2 linked regions of the Struthio camelus genome follow. The protein of the gene in region 2 interacts with the protein of the main gene of each other region in a biochemical or structural test. Links are inferred from orthologs where the notes say so. Each region holds a gene or a part of one and is shown on either strand. Other genes may lie near its edges.

Region 1 (6,982 bases), on a different chromosome or scaffold from region 2:
AAAGATAAAGGGAAAAAAATCATCAAAAGAATTTACAATCAGTTGCACATATGACAAACAATACAAGAAAACAGAGCACAGTAATCAGTTTGTATACTAAAGCGTGCAACAGAATAACCAGTTAAGTGGTGCACCAAAACACCGTGACATAACACATGAGTTCCTACTGTGGTACCATTTCAACAGTACGGACACGTCTTTTAGAAAAAAATTCTAAACATTTTTCATAAACTGTAATGTGTGTGCTCTTTTTGCAACTGATTGACAGGTACTTGCAGCTATGTGTCTGTTTCCAATAAACAAATCTATCTGCTTTTCACTTTCAGAAGTGAATCAGAAATGTAAATACATAAGGAGTGTAGCGTATATGCCCTAGGGAGGTGAATTTATATGAAGAAATCTTCAAATAGCTGGAAAAAATCTGTAAGATGGAAATGTATATGAGTAAATTTGAATTAAGATTATATATATCCTTTTCTTCAAAGAGTTTCTGGTTATAATCATATTATTACTGCCTCTAGCTTCTCAACTAACTTCTTTCAAAACTTAAACATTTGTTTATTGGGTAATGAGATAAGCTATGGTGGGTCATTTTCAAGTTAAACTACAGCCATTAGCGACCGATTGACAAAAAAGCTCTAAATCCTGTTATAAAAAAAGAATACAGGGAATGTTATTTTCCAAGAACAGATTTTTGATAACCTAGGGCATAAATCTTCTTCTTGTCTTTTACCGTTATGCACAGTACCCTAGGGATGATAATGGAGATATAACACTCAGAAGAAAAATTAGATGACCAGTCAAGACCAAATAGTAAACCTAGGACTGGTATTGTTCCTAAATTAAAGGAGGAAAAAAAAATCAACCTGAACCTATATCCTATAACCTCTGAGACTTCGATATAACACAAGCACTGCTGTAAATCTTCTGTTGTCATACAAATAAATATCTAAGCAAGTGTAGGCATATCCTGAAGCAATAACATTGCTTTATTTTTCAAAAGGTATCAGATGATATCAGATAGAAACCCAGTAAGAAAAGTACAGAAATGCTCCAGTGCCCTAATCGTTGCACTGTTCATTCCCTCTGCCCCTGAAAATAAATAAATAAAAACAATGATCCACATACATCTCTATGCAGTATACACATTACATTCTAAGATGATCCCCAGCTTGATCAGTAGAACCAGCCCACATACAGATACACACACACAACTCCAACGCATCTATCTGTAACATTTCTGGAATACTTCTTCCTCTATAAACAGCAGAGGAAGTCAATAGTAGCGTCTATTTTTGATGATTCTATAAAAATGGTAGGCTTCCTTTCAGTATGCATTTCAAAAATAGTTTGCAAATGGCAAACGCTTTACATCGGCTGCAGAGAAACAACTAAACACTTAACATTAACATCTACCTGCAAATGTTTTACTGGAAACTACGGTTCATTGCAACATTAAAGGTTTGACCTAAAACCCGTTGAAATCAATGAGTATGCTGTCATTTTTACCCTGACAGCAGAACTGGGTCCTGTATAGGTGCTCTGCACTCTTCCAGTCTAAAGTTTAGCATTTCATCAGATGCTTCATTATTTCTCTACCACTTCTGCCTCCCTAGGAGGGCAATTTCTGGTCAGTTCCAAAATACCTTTGCTCATTTATTATGGGAAGCAAAACTTCCCTCTCAAGAAAAGCTGTCCTGGTTCAGTTCCTTCTCATCAAGTCACTGTCACTCCTTCCTCTTCACAGAAGATAAAATTTTCTCTTGCTGCAAACCTTTACTTTCTAATTCTCCTTTATAAAACACTAGTTATGGAAACTGCCCATGTCTCCTCTTTTCCTTCCCACAAACGCAGAAGTGAAGTACTTCCAAATACAAATTGCACACCTTCTGAACAAGGGGAAAAAAACCAAAAACCAACCAACCAAAAATCCACCCCCAAACTTTAAACGTCTTTCTTCCGATTCCTTTCCCCCTCTGACTCCACTGCAGAACCAAGTCTGTATCACGGAGCAAGTCTTTCAACTTTCAGCATCAGCTACCACCAGCCTCACTAAAATTATCAGCATAAGGAAGATCTGATGAGAGCATTGCAAACAGTATCAAACCTCAGTGCACACATGCACAGGCAAATACACAGAAAATCAAACACAAGATTCACCATCAGAGAAAAAATAAACACCCTCCCAGAGTTGTGGGAAGCCCCTTCTGGTTTATTGCAGAGCTGAAAATGTGCATGGTTCTCTGAAAAAGGTACTTACGAGATGCAGGGAGAGCAGTCCTGGCTCTGCAGCTAATGCTGCTGAAAATCCAGAGGAAGAGAGCTGCCCTGCAGCCAGCTCGGGTAACCACAACCATCCTTCACTTCCTGGCTCCCTGTACTCCAAATGCCAGCTGCTGAAGACCTGCTTTTCTCCACTTTGCCCCCTTCTCTCTCTCTCCTCTTTCTTGGAGGAGGTGGCGAGGAGGTAAAGGGGGCTGGGCTTTACCTTGGGGTAGAAGCCAACCCCCCTCTTCGTCTGCTATCTCTTGGTTTGCAGCAGCAGGATAAGTCCCAATACTTTTCTTTCCCTTATTGCTCTATGTGAGTGTGTGTGTGTGTGTGTGTGTGTGTGTGTGTGTGTGTGTGTTTGTGTATGTGTGTGTGTGTGTGTGTGTGTGTGTGTGTTCCTCCTTCTCAGGGGGAAAATAAAAAGCCACAAAGTATCAGATAACAAGGTTTGTAGGAGGAGAGAAAAATAAAAATCAAAAAAGCAACCCCCAAAAAGGGGAGGGGTGGTGGGGGAGAGGGAAAGGGAGATAGGGATGAAGGGAAGGGAGAAAGGAAGAAAAAGCTGTTGGTGCTGCTAATGCTGCTGTTAATGCTACCACTGCAGCTGAGCCCTTCTTCCTGCACAGAGCAGCGCTGCTGAGAGAAGCTTGCAATAACCTCCCAGCTCAGATATATATACACAGTGTACACGCACACACAGCTAGGGAGCCAAACACACACACAGGAACCGGGAGAGGGAGAGAGAGGGAGGGAAAGACACTCCCGTAGCAGAGAAGCAGGCTCAGAGCCTCTCTCCTCATGCATTCATCATTTTCCAGCAGGAGGAAACGCTGCCACCAGCAGAAGCAGCAGCAACCTCCCCAAAACACCGGGGGGGGGGGGGGGAATAAAGAAAGAAAAAGCAGAAGGGAGAATCCTCTCTTTAGCGCTCCCTCCCCTTCCTCCAGCTCCTCCCTCTTCCTCTGCGCCCCTCCGGCCGCCAGGACCCTCCTCGTCCTGCCGGGCCTGGTTCAGAGCCGGAGCCGGGGCACCTCGGCGTGGGCCCGGGCCGCGCAGGGCCGCCGAGAGGGGCCGCGGGGAGGCCGCTGTCCGCGGTGCTGAAGTTGTGCGCGGAGGCGCGTCGCGCCGCGCCGCGGGGCGCCGCTGCCCGCCCCCGGGCGCAGGAGCGGCGGCCGCCGCCGGGCTTCCGCCGCCGTGGGCGCCCCACGGGCGGAGGTGGTTCAGGCTCGCAGCTCCGGCCTCCCGGGATGCCAGCCAGGCGCCCAGCAGGCAAGTCTTCCGAGCGGTCCTAGTCCCGGGGGGCTGAGCACCATCCCGCCTGTGGAGAGCTGGGGCTGCAGGAGCCGCTCATGCAGACGCTTCCCTCCGGTAGTGAATTCGCACACAGAGAGCGAGCCAGACAGAAAGCTGCATTGAAGCAGCGCTACGGGTTTTGCCTAAAAGCAATGACTGAGGTCGAATTCTAGCCTTACAGTTCAGGGGTTTCAAGAATCTGCCTTCTCTTTTCCATCCCTTTCCATCCCTCCCTCCATCACCCTTAAACAGACGGAACTGAAAGTTATTGCTCACCAGATATGGTAGAATAATGGGGGTGGGGAGTTATTCCTGGATTATTTATTCTACCATCAGTGAGGCAAAGAAAAATGAAAACAATTATTTCTCAGATGCTATATAGAGAAGACTGAGAAATGGAGAGAGATAACTTCTTTAGAGGTGCCCAAAATCAGTGATAAAATTTTTTTCAAGAACTAATACACATGCTGTTAACCAGTATCTGCTGCTATTTAGTGAGTATGATGAAGTGGTTAAGACTGCTTGCAAGATGAGATTTTCAGAAAGGCCATGGGATATTAAGATCCTCTGTCCTACTGCTTTTCAGTGGCAGCATCTATCTTTTAGGTCACTTTGAAAACTCATTCATACATAATATGTGATATCCCAGGAGAGCTGTGGCCTAGAGGTTTGAGCACAGCACAGGACAAAGCTTATGTGCCAGTTCTGGGAAAACCTGTCTCAGTAATCTTACGCAACTACCATAATACTCCCTTCTCCATCGTTCCCCTTGCTTTCCACATCAATATGGAATATTAATACATCCATATTTTAAATGTTTTCTCAGAAGTAATGCCAATATGTCTGTAGCAAATGTGGAATAAAAAAGTGCACTATGAATGCTAAAAGTTACCACACTTAGCTCTTTTTGAGAGAATATATGTTCCCACAGAGAATTTGCTATCTACTTCCTGCATCATCCTGAGCCCTGTGCCCTGCCCTCCCCAGTCTGCACACCCATAGATACTTCTTAATGTTGAGTAATCACTAGCGTAAGTAAGTTTTTTGGAATGAGCTAAGAACCAAATATTAATCAATGCCATTGAACTAATTCAATCTTACCTCTCTCTGTAACTTCTTTCTTATTAGCATCTTCCATTCTCCTCCTGCTCCATATCTTACCACTTTTTACAATTGCAGACCTACATTTTCTGGTCTTTAGCTACAGCAGAAGCAACAGTGCTGATACACTGTCAGAAACTGACTGAATATATTCACGGAAAAGAGAAAAACATCTGGGTATGATGTGCAAAAAGCCGTATCACTTTCATCTTGAGATCCTGTAACCCTTTCAATATTGAGTGGCCTTTATTTTCACCTGAGCAAACAACTTCTGAGTAGGTATGTAAAAACCTACTCAGCTGACCATTTTGCAAAATAAATACCCTCTCCTTAAGGTGCTTCCAATAAGCACAACAAAAGCAAGATTTTTTATACTTGTATATCATCTACTCAGTGAAGTCCTCCACTGGACCAAAATCTGACTTGATTCAAATTGATCAAACTTTACACTTCAGCATATTTTAATTGGGGCTTTCAAAAATGTATTCAAGTGGCTCACAAGTAGACACCCACATTTCAAAAAGCAGTTTTAAAGGATAAGACAAGCAATCCAAAACAGGAAGATTCAGCAGGTTGATTGATGAACATCTCAGTAGTGGTAATAGTGGAAAGTTTCCCTGTGGTTTAAGACGGAAGAAATGGTACAGATTATTGCATTTTCCCCACCTCAGAATAGGACCTACCCTTAAAAACTACATAAAATATTTAAACTATGCAGCAACAGCAATGAGTTGTGCAAGAATAATGCAATTATTTTTAATATAAACACTGCTGGGGCCTACCAGATCACTAAATTTGACTGGTTCTGTCACACAGAAATCACTGCGAAGATCTTTAGGCATTTTAAGGCCTACAAAATAAGCTAACCAAAATACACTTTTTTTTTTTCCCTGAACGATATTTTTGAAACATCACTTTGAATGATTCAACAAATCCAAGTTGAATATATAAGCCCTTGAAATGAAAACATGGTCAAATTGTATTAGGGCACAATAAGAAGTTATTAGATGCTTCCCTCTTCTACTCTTCCTCCTACCCTTTCCTTTCCAGAATAAAAGAAAGCTTCAAAGCAAGCATTGAGACAGCCCTGCTGTCTGGTCTGGACATCTGTAAGACTGAGCGCTCCTATCCTGCAACTAGCAAGTGCCTGCAATGTGCGAGGGCTGTACTGATCCACCACACAATGCAGGTTAGGAAAGTGTCCTAGCAGTGAGTGGGACAGATGTACCAGCCAAGACTCACTCAAGGAGGCGCTCCCAGCTGAGTTACTCCCATAGGGAAATTAAACCTTCCTTATCTTTCACCCCCTTCTCCCCCCCAGAGCTTTAGAAGTCAAAGAGGACATCTCAGTCTGCAGATGAAACCTGCCTGGGAACTGGTAAGACACTGAAGTGTTAAAAAGAGTCTAGTTATTACAGCTGTACACAAATTTTATTGAGCTTAATGGAAATTATACACACATATTGATGAACGAATAGATCCTTCTGAATTTACTAGGGCTGTCAAGCATTGTCTGCTAAATGGAATTCATCATGGACACAGCTATATTTACACTATGTGAATGTCAAGAAGAAAAACACAATGTCAGAAAGCTAGAAAATGCAATTAAGAATTTCAAATATTGGTAAGACCAAATGGCACCCAATAAAGTGATCAGCTGAGGATCACAGAAGAAAATGAATCAAATTGAAAAGGAAAAGGAATATGAAGCTTCCAAATTAATTCTGAAAAATAAAAGCCTTGCCTATTTATCTCTGACAATCTAACGTTTTAATACATTTCTTCTTTTTGTATTTTTGGTTGCCAAAAACCCCTTGAATGTCAGAGCTCTAAAAATCATCCTTAGCAGAATTCCCATCCAAACCTCTGTGATGGTAAATTTAAGCACTTCACGCAGGAAAAAGAAATGCAATACCTTTCAACTTGTGACCAACCAAAACTTTACAATTATATGCACAGAATTATGTGCCATATAACAGAGAGCTCTATTATTGAAGCAACTCTTGGATTTGTTAATAACATTGCAGGGTTCTTCACCTGGACTGTATAAACACATAGATTTTCTCTGAGGGAGGAAGAGGGCACATGAAGAGTATGATGACCTGCCTGTGAGAAGCTTTAAAACATTTGTAGAAAATTTTCATTTTCTCAAAATTTAAGAAAAGAAGGTCTTTCCTAATGTAGCTAAAAAGGAAGATGATGGTGCATTAGCAGAAAAGATCCATTATCATCTTCTAGTCTCATGTAGCTAAAAATACACAGCATTGCAGTTTGAACTGAATGTATTTTGGCCTTGCAATCATTGTTTTGCTGTTCT
Region 2 (7,991 bases):
TCACTTAAGTATAATAAAGATTAACAAGAAATTGGGGTTTTTATTCTAACTTTTAACTCTGTATAGCTTCCAGAAATTGAAAGTTATACTGCCAATATAGGCAAAAGAAAATTGCCTTTAAGTTCTTCTAGAGGAAACATGAACTAAAATTTCCCTCTGTTCCTCCTGGCCCTTTTCTCCTTCACCCATTCAAAATGAAAAAGGCATGCATAGAGAACTTAAACATGTGAAATGCCATGTAATAAACAGTTTATCCTTCTGTCATTTCAGTAAATTCATTCATATACTACTACATTGTAATTGTTATACACTCCAGCACACCAGAAGTTATTGTCATTGTGTTTATATAAAATAAGTCCATCACTTGGATCAGTTTATTGTATTTAAAACTGTTAATCTAAAGTTTAAAATAAGCCTCAGCAAACTGGACCACAGAGTTTCCCAGCTGATACTATCTCCCAGAGATTACTTATTTTTTAAAGTCAACAGAACAAGAACTGAGAGATTTCTCTTACAAGTTTGACTACAAAATGATGGAATGTTTAGTCTAAAATCTCTTTCCCACACCCTTTGTGAAAATATCTTTCTATCTATTTAAAATGACAGCGGTAACTACATATTTAGGAAAGATAAATTACACATTTAAATATTTCATGCATCTGAAACGCAAATCAGGGCCAGATATGTTATCTGCAAGAACTGAATTACTGTATCAATCAATAATAAATCACAGAAACATGGAGACATTTAGTTGATGTTTCACTGAAAGATGTTTAGTAAGATGCATATGTAGCAATTCAAAGCAGATTTACAGCAGTCTTCCTCAAGTTGCTTGAAGATGAGCAAAGCGCTACGTAAAAGACACTAAAAACATTGCATCCGTGGTCCCTAGGAAGGCATCCTTCATAGTGCTGCACAGAAACAAGAATATTGCTTAAACAACTGTATATGATACTATGTATTTCTTTCAAATGTTTTTAGAGGACTCACATAACATCTGTGCAGAAGATCATCAGCACTAACAACGAGCTATATAATCCTTCACATCACCACTGCTGCTGTTTTCAGTGACCCACTCTGTTTTTGCCACAGTGCGCTTGGCATCATTATACTCCTCTGATTTAACATTTGTTAGATTGATTTACATCCCAATGCGACCTGTACTACAAAAACGTCATGTGAAACTTCTATAGCTAATATCTAACTCACAGCTTTTGCGCTCTCTCTTCAAAATTCTCTGATCACAAAACAAAAAGCCCTTTGAAACGTGCAGACGTTTGGATCCCTGTGAATGATCCATTCTCTAAAAGGATGTGCAGTCACATTAAACATAACCACTACACCTTCTTCCTAACAGTAGTCAGATATGAATAAAATCAGGTATGCGAACTACAGTGGTTAGCATAAAACCACTTGTGAAATAAATGTGCCAAAAATAATCTTCAAAACACGTTTAATAACAGGGTTTTGTTTCTCTCCTACAGAAGCTCTTCACCAAACCACTAGCATTAAGTTAGAGCAATCACTTCAGTTTATGCCAGTAAACAAGGCCGTTGCAGCTCAATCTCTAGGAAAGTTGGTTATGTTAACAGAAAGCTAATAACCTGTTAAATGACAGAACTACGTGCTGAAACTTTTGCAGACAATGAAGTAACCTGCTAAGTCCAAGACCAGCATTTTAGTATAATTCTGTGGAAAGATTAATTTCAGATTATTTTTTTAGCCCTAACTTTACAAGTAGGCAGCTCTTGATATAGCAATTGAAAAGCATATTGGTGGAGAGTGGACAGGAAAATGTAGGAAGAAAAAATTATTGGTTTAAATTCAAACCAATTATTCTTATAAAATTCATTGTCACGAAGAAAAAACTGCAGACACTCCAAACAGAATCACTATTAGGGCTTCCACAGCAATCTCTGCTTTTGAATCAGAAACATACAGAAAATTAGGAAGTCACAATATTGGTACACCTCTCATGCCCATTTCGCAACACAAGCACAACTACAGAAGACATACAAAAGATGACAAAGAAACATAGAATGGATTTCAAAACTGGAGAGTCACAACCAATGGAGGAGGGGGGGGAATTAGCTTTAATTCTTGATTGTCCCCTGATTTTTGGGATTCTCTTCATTTCCTTGGCGTGATTATACAAAGACTGACACTCGGACTGTCATTTTCATCCACCAATCAAAGCAGTGACCCAAAACGAGCAGCTGGGCAATTCTAGCAGCTACCTCAACTGCTAGGTTTGACACAAGCCTTGAACATTGGTTTAATAGCGGTTGCATAATAAGACTCAAAAGGCCAAGTTCTCTTACTGCCCGATACATCTTTATTTCCACACGGATGAGGGTGGAAGGCAACTGAGCACTACCTGAGTGTGACTAGTACCGCCACTAACAAGCCGGTTATCATGCAGTAAAGGAAAGAGAAAAAAACCCAACACCTGGCGTACAAATACGCAGACGCCCAGTGGATAGGTGGATCCACAGAGAGAGATACCTTTCCTTTCCCTTCCCCAATAGGCAATCGTTGATGGGTGTGCCAGGAACGGGATATAGGGGGGAGGAGAAGAAAAGGGGTGGGAAGTGGTTGCTGCAGCCAGGCTGAGTGATGGTTAGGCGGTTAATCATGGTGGCTGAGGAAACATCGGGTCACTTCTCCCCCTTCCGCCTCCCGCGCAATAAAGAAGGTGGGCAGCGCGGAGAAGGCACTTGTCATGTCACCGCCACGAGCACAAGGGGGGCCGCGGACCCCACACCGCACGCACGGACTCACTGGCGGCGACTCAGGTGGGTGCCGAGCAGAGCATCCCTCTCCCTCCGCGCCCCGCGGGAGGGGCCGGGCACGGCGCTACCGCGGCCCCCGCCGCCTCCTCCCCCGCTCTGCTCGGTCGCGCACACGCACGCCCTGCCCGTCTCCCACTGCCCGCGGGACTCACTTGCCGATCACCTCGCAGAGCTCGTACACGTCCTCGAACAGCACGTCGTCGTCGGCCATGGTCCGGGCGGGGGGGGGATCAGCCCGAGAGGCGGCGGCGGCGCCGGCGAAGGGGGGAGGGCGGGCGGGCGGGCCGCGGGCACGATCCCCGCCGCGCGGCGCGCTCCTCTGCCGCTCAGCGCCAACCGCCACCACCACGGTAAATCCCAACCGCTACAACGGCTCCCACCGCCGCCGCCACCTTCCTCGGGCGCCGCCGCCGCCCGCCCGGCGGCTCCCACGGCCGCGCCGGGACTCCCGGCGCCTCCTCCTGCGGGCCGCGGCCGCCGCCGCTCCCCGCGCGTGTCACACACTCCGCGACCCCACCTTCCTCCTCCTCCTCGTCCTCCCCCCACCCCCCTCCCGCCCCCTCCCTCCCTCCCCCTCTCAGCCGGCTACTCCCCAGCGGCGGCGGGCGGGCGAGCGGGCAGCTCTGGCTAGCGGGGCGGCGCGAGGTCCATGGAGGGGACCGGCACCACACGGCGAGGAGGGAAGAGGGGCCGGCAGCAGGCGGCAGCGCCGTCTCGCTCCCTCGCCGGGCGGGCGGCCGCGCGCTCCCGGCCGGGCGGGCGGGGGGGGGGGGCGCGCGCGCGCGCCCGGAGGGATCGAGGGAGGGAGGGAGGGAGAGAGAAGGATAATAGTGGGAGGGGGAGGGGCGGGGAGTTGCCGGCGCGGCGGTTGATTACGCTCCGAGGCGCGAGGCGCAGAAGCAGCAGCAGCGGCGGCGGCCGCGATAGGCGCTTGCTTTACTGGAGGGCGGGCGGGCGGGCGCGCGCGCGCTCCCAAACACCGTCACGCAAAGCCGCCGCCGCGGCGCGCGCGCACCCTCCACAGGCAGGCCGAGCAGGCGCGGCACGCACGCATGCACGCACGCGGGGGGCTGCGCTCGTTTCCGCTCGCTTTTCTCCCCACCCCCACGCCAGCCCCGCCAGAGTCGTGCGCGGGGCCACGCCTACTGGCCGTTGGGGGCGGCCCGATGTGCGCAGGCGCGGGCTCCGATGACATCATACCGCGGGGAGGGCGGCGCGGCGCGGCGCGGCGCGGCGGGTGGTTGTCAGTGCCCGCTGGTGCGGTGCGGGGGTGGGGGGAGGGGAGTGAGCAGCCCGTCGGAGGCGGGGCGAGCGGCGGCGGCGGCGGGCAGAGGAGAGGAGAGGAGAGGAGGCGAGTGGGCGGGCGGGGTTCAGGTATTAACCTTTCTTATCTTTTAAGCCGCCCCCTCCCCCGTCGTCAGTGTGGGGGGAGGGGGTATCGCCGCCGCCGCCTCTTCCTCCAGCTCGCAGCGAGCCAACGACTGCGCGCGCGGCGCCGGTGGCGGGTGGTGCCGCGCGCGCAGCCGTTGGCCCCGTCGCTGCGTCGCTGGCGCCTCACGCACCGCTCTGCGCGCAGCCGCCGGAGGGAAGGCAAGGGCCTGGAGCTGGCGGGCGCCTCATGTGTAGGCAGGTGCGGGAAGAGAGGAGCGTTTCCCCACTTGCCGTGGGTCGTTAATGCTGTTATTTATGGAAAAGGTGAGGCGTTTCAGCTGCACGCGTGTTCGGTAGGGACAGGCGTCCTTTTTAGTTTTCACGGACTTGGTTGTAGAAATAAAGAACAGTTACGCAGAACGTTTCTAGAGCTTTGTCCAGGTGGAGTGTGTTTTTTTTTTTTCCTACCAGTCTATTAGTTTCAGGAGGATGTAGATATTTTCTGTAGCATAATTTGTTTCCCCTTCGTTATTAGGAAAACAGCCACCTTCTTACTAGTCCTCAAAGTAGTGAATTAAAAGAACTTTTTAAAGAGTGTCCCTAGATGTACTTTTTCTCCTTTGGGCAGATATGTCGTGGCTTTTTTTTTTAATCTTCTCTGAATAACCCTTTAAAAAGAATGACTAGACATTCAGTTAATTGTAAACATAACTTACTTGATACATTCTGTTCTGTTACTTTTGACCCATTAAATGAAATTCTGTACAAAAGATAGACTAAGTTGTTTAGCTGTGCTTTTCCAATGTTTGAATTAGATGGCTTGCAGAAAAAAGCAAAGCTCTTGAAGGAATTATCCAGGAAGTGTTTTGCAGTTTATGGAAATATTTATTTTTGCTGAAGTACTTTAGCACACATGCAACTTCTTAAAACTCATTAACACAAAGGGAAATTATGCATTTGTTTCCCCTGCACAGGAGAAAGCCTGTCAAAGCAAAATTATCCGATGAGATGCTTTAAAGATTAGCTTTAAAATGCAGAACAAAGGACACTTTGGCAAGAACACCTCCTTCCTTTCTCCAGACAAATTCAAAAGACAAATCAAGAGAATCTGTGGAAATAATAGCACGTATCTCCTGCACGGTGGTAGCCTATGCGGTGAGAGACATTCCCGTGAGACTATGCTCTAAGCCATACAAACCTTTATAAAAAATATTAAACATCATCTGCTATTTAGAATGCAAACAGAAAGCCAATAGTTAGATTGTCTACTCCCTGAATTTCACACTGCTAAACATGTAAGCAACTGTCTTTCACTTTTCTGAAGCCAGCACAACCATGTAGTAGTACCCTCACAGTGTTAAACTCAAGAAGTTGCAGAATATGGATGAGCATTCATTTATATTTTGAACAGAAATTGTCATCTGATTATCTGCAGGGCCATTATTAGAAGCTGGCAAGAATAATTGATACAAGAACACTCAAAGAAGAAAAATGCATATTGAAATAGCAGATCCATTCCACAGCTGAGGCAGATGCTTTTTCTGTTCTAGCAGCACCACTTCACAGAGGTCTCACCTTCTGAATGCCGAGCACCAAGAGGTACGCGAGGCTACGTCACCTGCGTTTGACAGACAAAGCCAAACGCTAAGAGTACTAAGCATAGTGCTTATGTGGGGAGCTTCAGGGCAAATTGTTATAACAGAACAAACCCTTTAAGAACCTTGGAGGGCAGCTGGCTCCATCGTGAGATGGCGGAACACGTAAACATGGTTTCCTAATGGAACAAGGTCTCAGCGCAGAGAGAGTCAGAGTCATCGTCCTGGGAAGGTAGTTTCTGGGAGCACACTTAATACAAATGGACTTTCCCTATGATAGGCGATTCGTTCCCTAGAGTCTAGCCTGCTTGAAGGGTCCTACTACCTTTGAGGAAGGAGGATGATGGCTTCTTTTTTACCTAATGGCCTAATTGTTTCTTTGCGGAACAAAATTAAGACACTCTTATTAGAGTGGCTGTGGCATTCATTGCTTGGGCTTGCAAGAAGCAAGACAAAAGTATCAAAGGCTGCAAATATATCAGATCTCCTCGTTTAACAGGAGGAAGACCAAAGCGGGTGCTAACTTTTGACTTGGGTGAAAAGAAAGAATTTGTCTGAAGCAGGATCTAGGATTTATATGCAGATCTGTATTATCAAAAGTTGCTACAAAAATAGCAGAATCAGTAAGGGTATCACTAAGTCAGAAGTTACTACGATTGATGAGAACTATGCGATAATCTGTATCTATGCTAATCTTAGATTCAAATTGATTGGGCTCACGAAAATAAGAGTGTCAGTTTGTCAACTTTGTCAGCAGCAAACTCCCAACAATAAGTATGATCATCCAGGCAATATACATGCAGGTATGTTTGTGATCATGAATTTCATCCCCAAGTTTGAAAGTGGTCATTCCCTTGCCCTTTCACAGGCAGGTGTTAATAATCTTCACCCGAATATCCAATATATCTCCTTGATAGATTTCAAGAGCCACAAGAGACATGGGTTTGATTTAAAAGCTTAAGGTTGAATTCTGAAATACACACATCTGAAATCTCATAAAAAAAGTATATAACAAAATTCTATTTGAAATACAAGCAGAAAAAAACTTTACGCTTGAGACCTGGAATGATTTGCTTAAAAGGATGATGAAAACAGTTCAGCGCATCAGCCATTGCAGGACTGGGAGAGGGATGTACTCACTTCTTCATAGGGAACACAGAAGAACGAGAACACTGACTATTGAAAGAAAAGATATGCTTTATCATCCCTGATTGCCTTCCCCAACCCGCTGCAGGCATTTGCGCTGTTTGTCAGTCAGATTCTGAGCTGCCAGTTTACAGTGTTATATTTTTAGGCAAACCACTATTGTTTAATTCAAAATTTCATGTTAAAGTCGTAAGAAATAGCTAAGTGTGGGTTTGGGCACTAGAAAATCTATTTCATAAAACTTTATGGGGTTTCCAAATTTTTTCTGGCTGTGGCCTTCTTACGGTGTGCCTGTATGTCTGTGAGCCTATATGGCTCACTACTGGTGAGCCACAAAGCAACAATAAGTTGTTCAAAGGTTGTTTATAGAACCATAATTATGAGTAACATTTGATCAGCCTTTATAGTGTTTTCATTTAAAAGCATGCTGTAAAAGGTACATGGTGATTAACATGAAATTCTAGGAGCTGACAGTAGTCTGTAATCCAAAAACTGTAGGAAGCACCAAATTTGATAACCGAGATGCTAAGCATAGTAGTGCTCCTGGTACTTTGATCTGTAACCTGTGTATTTGATCCACTCCCATTATGAGGTTTCAGAATGATATTGACACTAAAGATGAGTGATTAGTGTTAGTGATTCATAAGACAATTTTAGAGGCCTACCACATTTCTGACAAACTTTACCATATTGTTTATGAGTGCAAATTCTATGACCTGACAATTCATAATTTGGGCAACAGAAATGTGTTTAAGTTGCAATGAAAAGAGGTGATAGTTGGATCACGACATATACATTTTCAGTCCTTGTCAAAAATGTCTGTATCAGGAAGATCCTAAAAAGCCATCAACCAACTCTGAATAAGTCTGGATAACTCCTCACAGAAGTATGTAATTAAGTCAGCTTGGAAAGCGAATGTATGGCAGAGCAGTCTGCAACAGCTGAACTCAAAGGTAATGCATTGAACAAGCAGTTCCACACCAGAAATAAGAAGGCCTCCTTTCCCGTGAATGTGTATCTTACAGGTAAATGGTATGTGTGTCTAGAAAAATCTCTCTCTAACTGCATTTTCTCCTTACTGGAGCTT

The links.
Region 1: the proteins of CASK (region 2) and CNTNAP2 form a complex in vitro, tested with the Homo sapiens proteins (2 studies listed by BioGRID and IntAct, with this or other methods). The link is inferred for Struthio camelus from reciprocal best matches to the Homo sapiens genes CASK and CNTNAP2.

The regions. Positions count from the first base shown.
Region 1 is NC_090943.1:61,393,931-61,400,912, reverse strand, and holds the start of CNTNAP2 (contactin-associated protein-like 2), read right to left. Parts: upstream 3,106-6,982; 5' UTR 2,358-3,105; coding exon 2,261-2,357; intron 1-2,260. UniProt on the Homo sapiens protein: Required for gap junction formation. Required, with CNTNAP1, for radial and longitudinal organization of myelinated axons.
Region 2 is NC_090942.1:127,538,658-127,546,648, reverse strand, and holds the start of CASK (peripheral plasma membrane protein CASK), read right to left. Parts: upstream 3,069-7,991; 5' UTR 3,004-3,068; coding exon 2,945-3,003; intron 1-2,944. UniProt on the Homo sapiens protein: Multidomain scaffolding Mg(2+)-independent protein kinase that catalyzes the phosphotransfer from ATP to proteins such as NRXN1, and plays a role in synaptic transmembrane protein anchoring and ion channel trafficking.